Macaca mulatta: one gene and its partners. The protein of the gene in region 2 interacts with the protein of the main gene of each other region in a biochemical or structural test. Links are inferred from orthologs where the notes say so. Each region holds a gene or a part of one and is shown on either strand. Other genes may lie near its edges. The genes, in order: TEK, ANGPT1 and TIE1.

The links.
Region 1: the proteins of ANGPT1 (region 2) and TEK form a complex in vitro, tested with the Homo sapiens proteins (6 studies listed by BioGRID and IntAct, with this or other methods). The link is inferred for Macaca mulatta from reciprocal best matches to the Homo sapiens genes ANGPT1 and TEK.
Region 3: the proteins of ANGPT1 (region 2) and TIE1 interact in a biophysical measurement, tested with the Homo sapiens proteins (2 studies listed by BioGRID and IntAct, with this or other methods). The link is inferred for Macaca mulatta from reciprocal best matches to the Homo sapiens genes ANGPT1 and TIE1.

The regions. Positions count from the first base shown.
Region 1 is NC_133420.1:72,146,264-72,150,558, forward strand, and holds the start of TEK (angiopoietin-1 receptor), read right to left. Parts: upstream 2,865-4,295; 5' UTR 2,724-2,864; coding exon 2,672-2,723; intron 1-2,671. UniProt on the Homo sapiens protein: Tyrosine-protein kinase that acts as a cell-surface receptor for ANGPT1, ANGPT2 and ANGPT4 and regulates angiogenesis, endothelial cell survival, proliferation, migration, adhesion and cell spreading, reorganization of the actin cytoskeleton, but also maintenance of vascular quiescence.
Region 2 is NC_133413.1:117,799,263-117,803,640, forward strand, and holds the start of ANGPT1 (angiopoietin-1 precursor), read right to left. Parts: upstream 2,812-4,378; 5' UTR 2,479-2,811; coding exon 2,182-2,478; exon of another isoform or gene 2,047-2,181; intron 1-2,046. UniProt on the Homo sapiens protein: Binds and activates TEK/TIE2 receptor by inducing its dimerization and tyrosine phosphorylation.
Region 3 is NC_133406.1:197,351,178-197,354,796, forward strand, and holds part of TIE1 (tyrosine-protein kinase receptor Tie-1), read right to left. Parts: intron 1,797-3,619; coding exon 1,638-1,796; intron 1,474-1,637; coding exon 1,336-1,473; intron 1,163-1,335; coding exon 866-1,162; intron 336-865; coding exon 45-335; intron 1-44. UniProt on the Homo sapiens protein: Transmembrane tyrosine-protein kinase that may modulate TEK/TIE2 activity and contribute to the regulation of angiogenesis.

The DNA of each region.
Region 1 (4,295 bases), on a different chromosome or scaffold from region 2:
GTTTCATCTGGGAGCACTTCCCTGACCTTACAACTGTTTCCTCTGCCACTCCAGACAAGATGTCTGCTATCTCTGAATCCAGTTGTTATTTAAAATGTCAAGTGACAAGGCCGGGCGTGGTGGCTCACGCCAGTAATCCCAGCACTTTGGGAGGCCGAGGCGGGTGGATCACTTAGGGTCAGGAGTTCAAGACCAGCCTGGCCAACATGGTGAAACCCCGTCTCTATTAAAAATACAACAAATTAGCTGGGCATGGCGGTGGCAGGTGCCTGTAATCCCAGCTACTTGAGAGGCTGAGGCACAGAATCGCTTGAACCTGGGAGGCAGAGGTTGCAGTGAGCCGAGATCACTCCACTATACTCTAGCCTGAGTAACAGAGCGAGACTCCATCTCAAAAAAAAAAAAAAAAAAAAAAAAGTCAAGTGACACAGTAAAAGGGGTATGAAGGCATGAGACTAGAGACTTCCTATTAGATCAGTGTTGATCATGTAGAAGATACTATGATAAATCAGTGATTTTTTTGTTAGTTTTCTATGTATACAACTCTTTAAAGAGAGCAGCCTGGTTTGATGAGGATAGGAGAGTAGGGAAAAGCTAATATAATAGAAACTGTTTGAAACCTGAAGTTAGCAATGATTTTCAAGTCAGAAAGGAAAGCAACAGAATCTAGGAATATTTGTGAGGAGCTTCTGAGACCTACACACCTCCTGCAGCCATTTTATGGGCCAGCAACTCTGCCATCCAGAGCCACCTTCACTGAAAAAAAGTGGCATTTCTTTCTTCAGTCTGTTGGTTCAGAAAAAAGAAATGAGAAACAACCTACTGGACTAGAGAGATAAACCTATAAGCCATAAGCGCCTTGCCCCACTGCTGTAGTCTACCAGGAGTTTGACTAGAGAAATGGGCTCCTATGGCTGTGGACATGATCTAGCTGGATTCTTCTCGTTGCAATTACCAAGCCTCAAGCAGTCAGGCTCATGGAGGCTTAGACTAGGAATGCAAGTTACAATCAAGACAACAGACCTACCTCAGAAACTAACCTTGCTAGTGTCACCCTTCCCAACAAGAATATGACCTACTTCCTCTCCTTGGTCCTCTCCCTTTTAAAGGCAGTGCTGTTTTTTTCAAGGATCTAAGGTCTAGACATGGAGCAACTATTTTGGCCACATGACCTTTTTGTTTGATGACAATTCTTCTAAGCCTGTATTGCACAGTGCTATAACATAGTTGCTTTAGGGGCAAAAAAGTGAATGAAAACCGTTGTGTGTGTATTACTTAACCTACAAAGTACCTCAGAGAAACTCTAGACACCTGGGCTTCACATCACTATAATCCCTGGTATAGAATCAGTTTCAGATTTTATGTCACTGGTAAATAATGGCCCTCAGAAAAAAAGAAAATCAAAAATGGAATCATGGTAATTATTTAAAGGTACATATTATTGGAGAAGTCAACATTATTTAAACAATTTCCATATAAATACTGAAGCCACCTAAAATCTTTAATTTTTAGCAACTTGTGTTACACATTCTTACTTTTAAAAATATTATTAAATTCTCAATATGTTGGTTGAGAGCTATAAAACAAATTGTATTCAACTCTTATTTAATTGGATTTTTTTTGAATATTTAAAATATTTCAAACATCTAGAAAATAGAGCAGATACTTATGTATACTTGAATCAAATTCTATTAATATAGCCTATATCCATGAAGTTTAGTGAATTTTCCCAAATTTATCTCCAATATCAATTCAATTTTCATTATAATTAGAATGTTTTCAAACTGAAGGAAAGAGACTGATGGCAATGATAATGTATTTGGGATCTGTAGTTGGGGTTTGGATACTGCCTTCTGCCTATGTCACAGAGGCTGAGTGAGCCACAGAGACACACCACTATCTGGAGTATCTGAGCAATAAACACACTAAATCCAAACATACTGGCCAACCATTCCTCCACTCTACAACAGGCTTCTATACTCTCCTGTGTTAACGATCTTGGTAACTGCCTAAATTTTTGCTTCATTGAGCCAGTAAACCCTTTATGAATTACTAGATGGCAAACATTTTTAAAACTAAAACAAAAATTCTAATGGCCCCAATCTCCCTGACCCTAACTACAAGGAAAAAAAAAAAAAAAAAGCCTACAATTTCATTAATTTGCTTAAAATAGGATATAAATATAAAATCTTTTCACAGAAAAGCATTTTTGTTCTCTTTAAAACAGTGACAATCTATACACTGCCTTAATAGGGCCCCTGTATTTCTCAACATGACTTTCATTTTTTACTGAAGATTCTCTTTAAAGTAGGTAAAACTGGTTTGTTCTTTAAAAATTCAGTAAGAAAAACACTCCAGAATGAGGAAGAGGAAAATAATGCATGATAGTAAGGAGATCTCTTCAAATAAGATGATTTAATCGGTCCTCAACGAGTTTATAACACAGGGGCCAATCACCCAGAAGACAAACTCTAAGAAAATCAGTTCATGCCACAGAGACTTTGCATTTCAATCCTTCCACACATATTGACTGGAGACTCACAGAGAAATGGTGCCTTTGCTACAGCCACCCCTTGTTAATCAGCACTGATGAGATTTGGGGAGAGCACCCAGAAGTCACTAACTCTGTTTTTAAAAATACTAATTTAAAAAAAATAAAGCCAAACCTTACCAGAAAGGAGCAAGCTGACTCCACAGAGAACTAAGCTGGCTAAAGAGTCCATGCTTCCCCAAATCTCTCCATCCAGTTTCCACAGATGTGCATGAGGTCCCAAGGATCCTTTCAAAAACCCAGCGGTTTGTGACTTTCCATTCGCATCGTCCTACTACGTCTTGTTTACAAGTTAGAGACAAGAAGGAACAGCACAGAAGCAGGCTGTAACAGTCTCATTTCTGTCTGAGCACAGGGAGTTTTAAGTTCCTTTTTCCTGTTTCCTTTGTAGATTAGGATGGGAAAGGCTGTATCTTAAAGGCATTTGGTATCAGCAGGGCTGGGGGCACTCAAGCCCTATCCATCTCGCAATTCATCAAAACACTTATCTGTTGCTGTTGCTTCTGCTGCTGCTGTTGCTGCTGCTGTAGGGGTAGAGGAATTTTTGTTGGAAGTGTGGGTCCCGGTCAGCATTTTCAGAAACAATAGGGGTATCCTCTCATAGGCGGGAAACTGAGAATAACAAGCCCTCCACCTATGTATGGTATGCGATGATGACCAATCCTTCTCAGACTTCTAACAGCTCTCCCGGGGCTACTGGGATCTCTGACAGAAGAAGCTTTTGGGTGTGGGGAACCGTTTTGGCTTTTGTTTTCTCATTTTAACCCACATGGTTTGAATTGGGAAAAGAAGGTTTCCGTGATGAGAAAATACAACCTGAAAGGCAATTAATTTCAGTGAGCACCGGTGAGGTCAATGCTCAACGTAGCCCCAAGAGACCAGAGTCCAAAATTGTTAGCCTGTTTTCTTTCACACAGATGGCCTGTTGGTTGGCCATTAGCCCAAAGATACCCATGTTGCTGGCTATAGCTTTAATTTTCATTAACAATTCATCTAAAGGTGATCAAATTTCTTGAAGAAGTTGGCATAGAAGGATTTTGGTAATGAGAAGGATTTCATAGTCATTGAGCAATGGTGTTTCAGAAGCAAATTATATATAACATTTAGAAACTAATCTGTGTAAAAACACAAACATACAGGATTAAATTGGGATAAAAATAGTGCTCATAAGAGCAAAGAGAGTACATGGGCCAAAATGAAAAGAGCCATTGAATGTACAATACCTAAAATGAGATCAGAGACCCTACACTTATCCAGATGATAATTTCTCCACAATATGAATTATGACATTAGATTAGAGAGTATACACTTTGCTCATCATCAACCTTCATGCCTGAGGAAATCATTATCCTCCTCCTTTTCCTACCAACCACAGGAAAAGGCAGATGCAGCTAGTCTTGACTAATTTCTGTCCCAGGTTTTATCACATCTATGCTGATCTTAAGAACCAATTAATGTTTCCGGTTTGCAGGTGTGAAAAAGCCCAGGTTCTGTCTGCAAACAGACCTGGGTTCAAATACTGGCTTAGCCACATGTGTGGCTGAGACAAGTTACTTAGTCTTTTTGAGGCTCAGTTTCAACAGCTGTAAAATGGCAAAAATACTTCCTTACCAGGTGTTTTGAGACGAATAAATGAAGCTTAAAAATATAAAACCATTTGGTACTACGCCTAGTTCATGGAAGGTTCTCATTAAATGTTAATAAATTTACTTTCTTTCATCTTTCCATTCACTCTCAATTTACA
Region 2 (4,378 bases):
AGAAAACTCCTAATTAAGGGAAACTTATGAAAGCCTTTAGCAAGTTCTTTGTTGAATGCATTTATTTGGTTTCTTGATCCTCCAACCAATCACATTGACAATGACAAAAGATATGCAAATTTAAACTGACAATAGTCAAGCCACACTGCTCTGACTCATACCAATAGGGACGTTTTCAGCATATATTCAGCTTGATATTTACACTTGAAAGGGTCAATGTAACCAAAGAACATTTTAATAGTTATTCTTGGCTATAATCTGAAAGCTATCCCACAATCATTGACCAAGAACAATGCAAACAAGAATCAAATTTATTTTGCAAAATAAATTAACATATGAAACACGTGCATGATTTAAGCCCAGCAGAATTATGTGTTTACCCTGTCACTGCTGAATAATTGCATAGCAACAAGAAATATGCATTACTATGTTTGAATCACTATTTTGATTATGCGTTTTAAGCAAACAAAACATTACGTTTTTGGTAGAATAGATCATTCGGGGTAACTTGGGACTAAATTTTCCTCCCCATTCCCTCAAAGAATCCAGACTAATATATGATTGGATTCTCACTAAAAACTATATGGATGGTGTACTGAAGAATAACAACAAGCTATTCAACCAAAATCATTTGTTTACAATGGAAATAAGTTTTACCAAAGAAAAATACAAACATCCTATTATAAACTACTATTGAAAGCAGTGCCTAAAATTTAAGCTACAATTGAAAAAAAACCGAGAGTTCTGTTTGCTTTTTATTCTTCTACCTACCTACTGATTGCGTATTACAGTCCTATAGTCTGTAATAGAAAGATTACAATATCAGGTTTGGAAACTGTAGAACTACTAAGTTCCAGTTAATGTGTCAAATAAAATAACAGTGATCTTAGTTCAGTCCCTAGTGGACAAAAGTAGAATAACTATTACTTGGCATGATTCAGCAGGCGATGACCTAAGCGAGTGTGATCACACAGGAACAAAATAGAGCATTTGTCCTTTCCCTATCTTTTATCTTTTTAAAGGGATTGCCTCGTTTACAGACTAACTTAAAGAAGCCTGATTGCATACCTATTTATATGTACCAAGTAAATCCATTAACGAGGGAGAGAAGCTTTTCACAAATTGGGACATTGCCTCCATTCTAGTGGCATAGTCAGTGGAATATACTTATTCTCGGCTGCCTATTATTAAACAGAGTGCAAAGACAGAATGAATTGCAGAAGTGTGTTCATAATTTAATAGGCATATCTTCAACAAAAACTTTTAAATGGTTTGTAGATAAATAACTGGATAAACTATTTGATTTGATTTCTATAAATTGAGTTTACATTCATACTCGACATTAACATTCATCAAATAACATGGATACGTAAACTCGCCAGGTACTGTCTCTGTAACTACAATGCCCTGAGAAGGGAGGTGTTTCAGGAATATAGTAGAGACTACATGTTGCATTCAGCCCAAATCTGCAGGTGCATGTCTTCCTCAACAGCCAGCGTGTTCTCATTGTGAGCAAGCAAGCCCTTTCTGACAGTTCACATTACAACGTATCTTTTTAAAATTTTTTTTCTCAAGGACAGAAGAAAAAATATTTAACAGAAATCAGTCCTCTACTATTCTACCACTTGCTGAAATTAACGGTTCCCTTTACATAAATATACAATTTCTCCAACCAAATATCATATTTTACATTTACTCTCACTTCATGTTAATTTTTCTAAAGGTTAAAAAAAAAAAACAAATACTTTGTGATGATTTGCCACCCCAGTGGCACAAAATTTTCTGGTGCAAAATCGATTTGATCTTATTAATTAGTATAGTCATTACGATTATTTATTTTTCACCAACTTGCTTAAGAGGTACATGCTTTCTTTCTTAAGGTAGAGTTTTGACAGAAAGACTCTTAATGCTGAACTTTAAACAAGAGAAACCAGAAATGTCATAAAATTTACCAGGGCTAGACACACACGGGGTGCCCCCACACATTCATAGGATTGCGCAAGCCCCCAAACCTTGGCTTACCCAGGAAGCCAAACCCAGACAGCCGTCTTGCAATTGCAAACACTGCCCCCCTGGAGCAAAAGGTAAACACACAAATGCGCCCCTAAGGAACTTTAAGTTAGCTGCAGTGCAAGAACGGAAAAAGCTCCGTGCTATTAGAAACTGAAAGCAATCACTTACTTTTTGCAGCCACTGAGTATAATTTTCCATCACATGTTCCAGATGTTGAAGTTTCTGGGAAGAGAAATCCGGTTCCACGTGTGGAGCATCTCTCTGCAGAGCGTTTGTGTTGTACTGGTCTGTCGTACTCTCACGACAGTTCCCATCGTGTTCTGGAAGAATGAAAGTATAGGCACATTGCCCATGTTGAATCCGGTTATATCTTCTCCCACTGTTTTCTGGACTTCGGCGCTGGTTGCTGCACCCTGTGTGAGTCAGAATGGCAGCGAGGAAAGCAAAGGAAAGGAAAACTGTCATTGTACTGCCAGCACTCTCCTTCCGTGCCTCTCGCAAAACTTGCTCCTTTCTTCTGACCTCTAAACTAGTTCTTTATTTCAGGTAAATCTGCTTGTTTGTTTGACTCTCTCCCCCTCAAAGAAAGCGTTTGAAGAAGAATAATAGAAAACTAGCCATTTGTTAGCTTTGTTCTAAAATGTTAAAATTTTTTATTTCACTGTAATGATATTTTCCTTCGTTAAAACTTGAGATATTTATTGCATAGTAGCTGAGATTTATTGTTTCCTCTCTGTGTGACCGTTCAGCGTGGAGCCTGCCTGAGTCAGCTGCGTGTACATATTCTAGACTCTTTCCTCTACCCTATCTGCTTCAGATCTGCTATTTTCTTCCAGACCTCAGTGAGTTTTATTAAGGTTGCACATCCAAGCCAAGCTGGAAGCAGGCAGCCTTTCACAAGATGACTTGACAGGAATGCGTGAGTGTGCCCCTATGCTAAGGATTGCTGATGGCTTAGGGCGGCAGGATCGTCTTACAAATTGGCTAGATGCGCATGACCTCGATCATGTATGGCCCTCCCGCCCCCTTCCGCAGACAATTGCCTTGAGCCTTTAACAGATTCAAGGCAAATCAATAAATAGAGCAGTCCACCTTAATACACTTTTGGTGTGCATGCTGACCTACTAAAATACAGCCAACTAGCAGTATGTTTTTAAAGTTACTATTTAGTCGAGGGACCCTAAGAAGAAAATTGGCATGATGTCCAATGAAATTATTTTTGATAGAGAATGATAAACCCGTATCATTATTAAATGTCTTTTAAAAACATGTATTCTTGACTCTGAGGAAAAATATGTAAAATAACAATTTTTACAGGGGGTATTCTTTCATCGTATTCACTTAGACTTTTAGGAGTTGAAGAAAATAATCAGGATCAAAGTAGCAAGAAAATTAGCATCATTTGTTGCTCAAAGCAATATGTTGCACAAAGCAATATAGTATATGCATATTAAAGAGGATTATCTAAGTACCTTTTGGTATAGGGGTCTTAAATGAAACTGGTGTCCTGATCAGAATGCAACCCTTCGTGTTCCGTGTATATAAACTGAGCAACTTCCCTACAAAAACAATGTGGCTACAATTTAAAGCAGTGGCTTGAGAATTATTAATTCCTGTGGTATATCCTAATCCTATATTTTACAAGGATCTCTTTGGTGGCTACGGCTGTCTTTAACACTGGTATGGAAGTTTACATAAAAACCTCCTGTGGCTGCACAGACACACCATGTAAGAACAAGCGTATATCAGGTGTGCTAACAGCCAGCAATGGGCTGCACAGGAGACATCTCTGTGCTTCTGTGAAGGAAGAAAGAAAAATTATCAGAAGATGATTTCCCAAAGGCAGCGTATAAACCTTTGAACAAAGGGACCCGTAAATATAAAGAGGCGATAATTTTAGAATTCAGGGAATGGCTCTGAGATGTTTACTAGATGCAGAAAACATGAACTATGAGTTGGGATTTTCATTAGGAACTGGGAGGGCTTTTAGGCAACTGCAGTCATAGTGGAAAAACAGAAGCCACAGCTGTCATCTCCATGTCCTGGAAGGAGAACAGGGCAGTGGGTGAAGGTTGGTAGTGGTTAGAGATGGGCATTTAGGGAGAAGTTAGAGGAGAGGTCAAAACAAATTCCAGAACTAATGCGATTTATTTGGGGAGAGAAACCTTGCTGAGATTCATCAGTCCTTTCCACACTAAATAACAAATTTCTGATTGGACAGATATGGAAGCAAGTTATGCCAAACACGGCAATAAAATATTTGAACCACTTTTGCAGCCTCTTGAACTTTTGCGTGTCTCCTCATTGAGTCATGCATCACTCCTGTGCAACAATAATAATGGCATGCATTAAGACCTTACTGTTT
Region 3 (3,619 bases), on a different chromosome or scaffold from region 2:
TCCCCACTCAGAGCCCGGGGGTCCTGTGGGCCTTCCCCTCTCACCGTTGCCCAGGGTGGACTCTTCTACTGTGTTGCTCCAGTCCCCGAGCCCCTGAATGCCGGCCCGCACGCGGAAGAGGTAGCGCGTGCTGGCGTTGAGGCCACGGATGATGGTGCTTGTCTCCTCAGGCCTGTCCACGTCTATCCACAGTGGCTCTCCTGCACCCCCAGCCACCTGCACCTCCACAACGTACTTGGATATCGGCCCAGGCAGAGCCTCCGGGTGCTGCCATGTCAGCTGGATCTCGGAGTCTGAGAGAGCCTGGGCGTGGAGGTGTCGGGGGGCTGGAGGCCCTGAGGAGATGGGGGCGGGAAGGCAAGGCTCAGACGGGACTGGGCTATGTAGCTGTGGCGCTGGACACATCTGCTCTAGCTGTGCCCCCTGCTCTGTGGGTCCACGCACAGGAGCCACCCTGCCAACTTCCTCCTCCCCACCAGCCTGAATTCCTCTCCATTCCCCCAGGCCACCTTCACCCCCAAGCTTCTGCTTCTCCTTGTACTACTTGTATCCCAAGTCCTCTCCACATCCTCCCATGCCCCCTGCTCCCCAAGTCTCTTGCCCTCCCATGACCCTGGTTCTCGCCATGAACCCTGACCTCCCCATGCTCTCCCCACATGCTCCTGGTGATCTGTGTCCTCCTGGTATCCTGGATCTTCCCCAAGTCCCATGTCCCCGCTGGGGTCACGTCTGCCTAATACCCTAGCATGTCCCATGTCCTCTCCATGTCCATTAATCTATAGCCTCCTGTGTCTCCTAGGTCTCATGTGTCCCTGCGTCCCACGTCCTCCCCCAACCCCCAGCTATCCCTGCGCCCTGGGCATACCACTGGGGGGCAGAAGCACGTGTGCAGGGGGCGAGGCTGGGCCCAGGAGGGTGCAGTGGTAGAGCTGCACATCCAGCTGGTAGTGAGTGCCAGGCGTAAGTCCCGTCAGGAGGGCAGTGCGGGCCTGGGGGGATGAGACGTTCTCCCGCCGCTCCTGCCCCCGTGTCCCGTCCCACAGGCGCAGCAGGAAACCGTCGCCCACCAGTGGCCCGGGCACCAAGGGCAAGGACCAGCTCACTCGCAGCCGGTCAGGGCCTTCCACATGCCAGCCCTCCAGCCACGGCTGCAACAAAGGCTCTGGGGCCAGAGGTCAGGGGTCAGAACTGTCCAGTAGGTACTTGGGGCTGGACAGGACAGTGATCCCCAGTGAACAAGGAAGAACAACCTCCAATGGAAAAGGCAGGGGTCCCTGGGGTGGACAGGACAGTAACTGCTGGGGGGACAGGAAGAGATGACTCTTGGCCTCTCACCAGGACAGTCTGTGGTCATGAGGGTGGGAGGCCCCCAGGCCCCCTCTCCTCCTTCCCCTGGCCGGCTCAGCTGCACACGAACACTGTATCCTGTCTTTGGCCTTAGGTTCATTAATGTCACGTTCTCACTGGGGTCCACTGGGGGTGGGGTGTACAGCACACATCATTCAGCCCCCACCTCTTCTAGAAGCTGCCATGCTCCCTTCAGCCCCCTCAAACCATTTGCCCTCCCTCTCCTGCTCACCGTATCCCTTCACTATTACCCAACACCCCTGTCCTGCCCCAGCTCTCTCCCTACTCACCCACAATGGTCGACCAGTCCATGGTACTGTCCTGGGGCCGGTAGTGCAGGCGGACGGAGGAGATGGGTCCATCACCAGAGAACGAGACCAGCGGGGAGACCACAAGCTGGCGGCTCTGCTTGGTCAGGAGCCGAGGTGCAGCCAGGGGCACGGGGGGCACTGCCAGGAGACTCAGGGTAAGGCATGGGCACACAGCCTATCCAGTCCACTTCTGTGTCTTATTTCAAGCTGGGGACCCTCTGGGCTTGAGGGACACCAAGTTCAACAGATGACCATAGTGGCCAGGGCCCAGGAAGGACAGAGTTCAGGCCCCTGGGTAGCTTGGGGCACAAGGATTCAGCAATAAAAGCATGAGGGTGTCCCAAAAGATAGTAGATGAGGAAGTGACATGGCCAGACATGGTTTGGGGGTGCACTCTTCCCATGCAGTGTGGGGGTAGACAGAAGGGGCTGAAACCCAGGGCAGGGAGACAACCTGGGCATCATCCTGCTCTCTGCCCCTGCTCTCATTCACCACTCTCTTAATTTAAAAAAATGGCACCGGCACTGAAGCACCTGCTCCCCACCACATGCTTCATAGTATGACCTCTAATTCTCACAGCCACCTTTCCGTCAGGGCTCATTAGCCTGCATTATGAAAACACTGAGACTCAGAGACACCGAATAACTTGCCTAAGGACACACAACTAGGAGGAGATACAGCCATGTGTTGAACTAGGTCTGTCTGCACAGGCCGCCTGGATCTATCCATTCTACTCCAAAACAGCCTTCGTGTCCCTGTCCCACTTCCTCACCCCATGATCGCTGTTGCTATTCTGGACTCAACTTTTTCTCTCCAGATGATTGCATTAGTGCTTTTAACAGGTTCCCTTGACTCTTACAAATGTTTATGAGACTGGCTTTTTGAGAGGAAAGGAAGGAAGGAAAGAGGGAGGGAGCAAGGGAGGAAAAGGATGCAGCGCTGTAAGCTGAGGGAGTGTCAGGCAGCAATAAGCATGTCAGGAGGCGGTGCTGATTTGGGGGGAGAAGAAGGTCCATTTTGGGTGCGGAGAAGCCCTTGGTGCCTTTGTCTCATGCAGGGGATTAGATGTCCAGGGAGTGGCTGGATATAAAATGGGCCTCTGAATCATACAGCAGCCACTTTCCACACTAACTTCAAAACCAGACTTCCAGAGAAGATGCCCCACTTCATGGAGGCCCCACCAAATGATCTGGAGTCAGAAGAGGGGTCCCAGCTGCAGATCATATGTGAGAGCTGCTAGAAAACAATAAAAATCTAGGGACTAGGTGACATTTTAAATAATAAGAACAATAATTATCAACATATATTGAGCATGCACCCTGTATTGGGCACTGTGCTAAATGCTTAAATGCATCATCTAATTTAATCTTCCTAACAACCCCATCAAGTGCTAACTATCCCCATTTCACAGAGAGAGAAACAAAGTAAGAGAGGTTAAGTACTTTGCTTAAGGTGATGGGGCAAGGAATTTGTGGAGAGAGGGTTCAAGCCCAGGTTGTCTGGCTCCTAAGCCTGGGCAGAGTGAGAAGAGAAAGGCGGAAGGTGGGGCATGATGGCAGAGAGGGATGCACAGTCACAGGATGGGGAGATGGCGAGGACCTGGGAGGCAGAGTGTGGCAATGAGAAAGCAGAAGGTGAGAGAGGGGGCTTACATGGGGTAACAGGAAGCAGGAGGAGAGGGACAGCAGGGTCACAGGGTGGCCGGGGTGCAAACGGTTAAGGCTTAGGGTGCTGGAGAAGCTGGAGAAGGTGAAGGGACTGGGAGTGGGGGGTGCTCTGGTCTGAGTAATCTTGGGCACTGGGAGGTCCCTCCTTATTTACCTGGCAGATTCCTAGGCATGCACCACTTCTAGGAAGCCAAGCTGGTCACCCTCTGAGCTCCACAGCCCCATGTGCTCCCCCTGGGCTAGCACTGAGTGTCTGTGGGGTGACTCAGAGATGGGAGGCAGCATCCCTGAGCA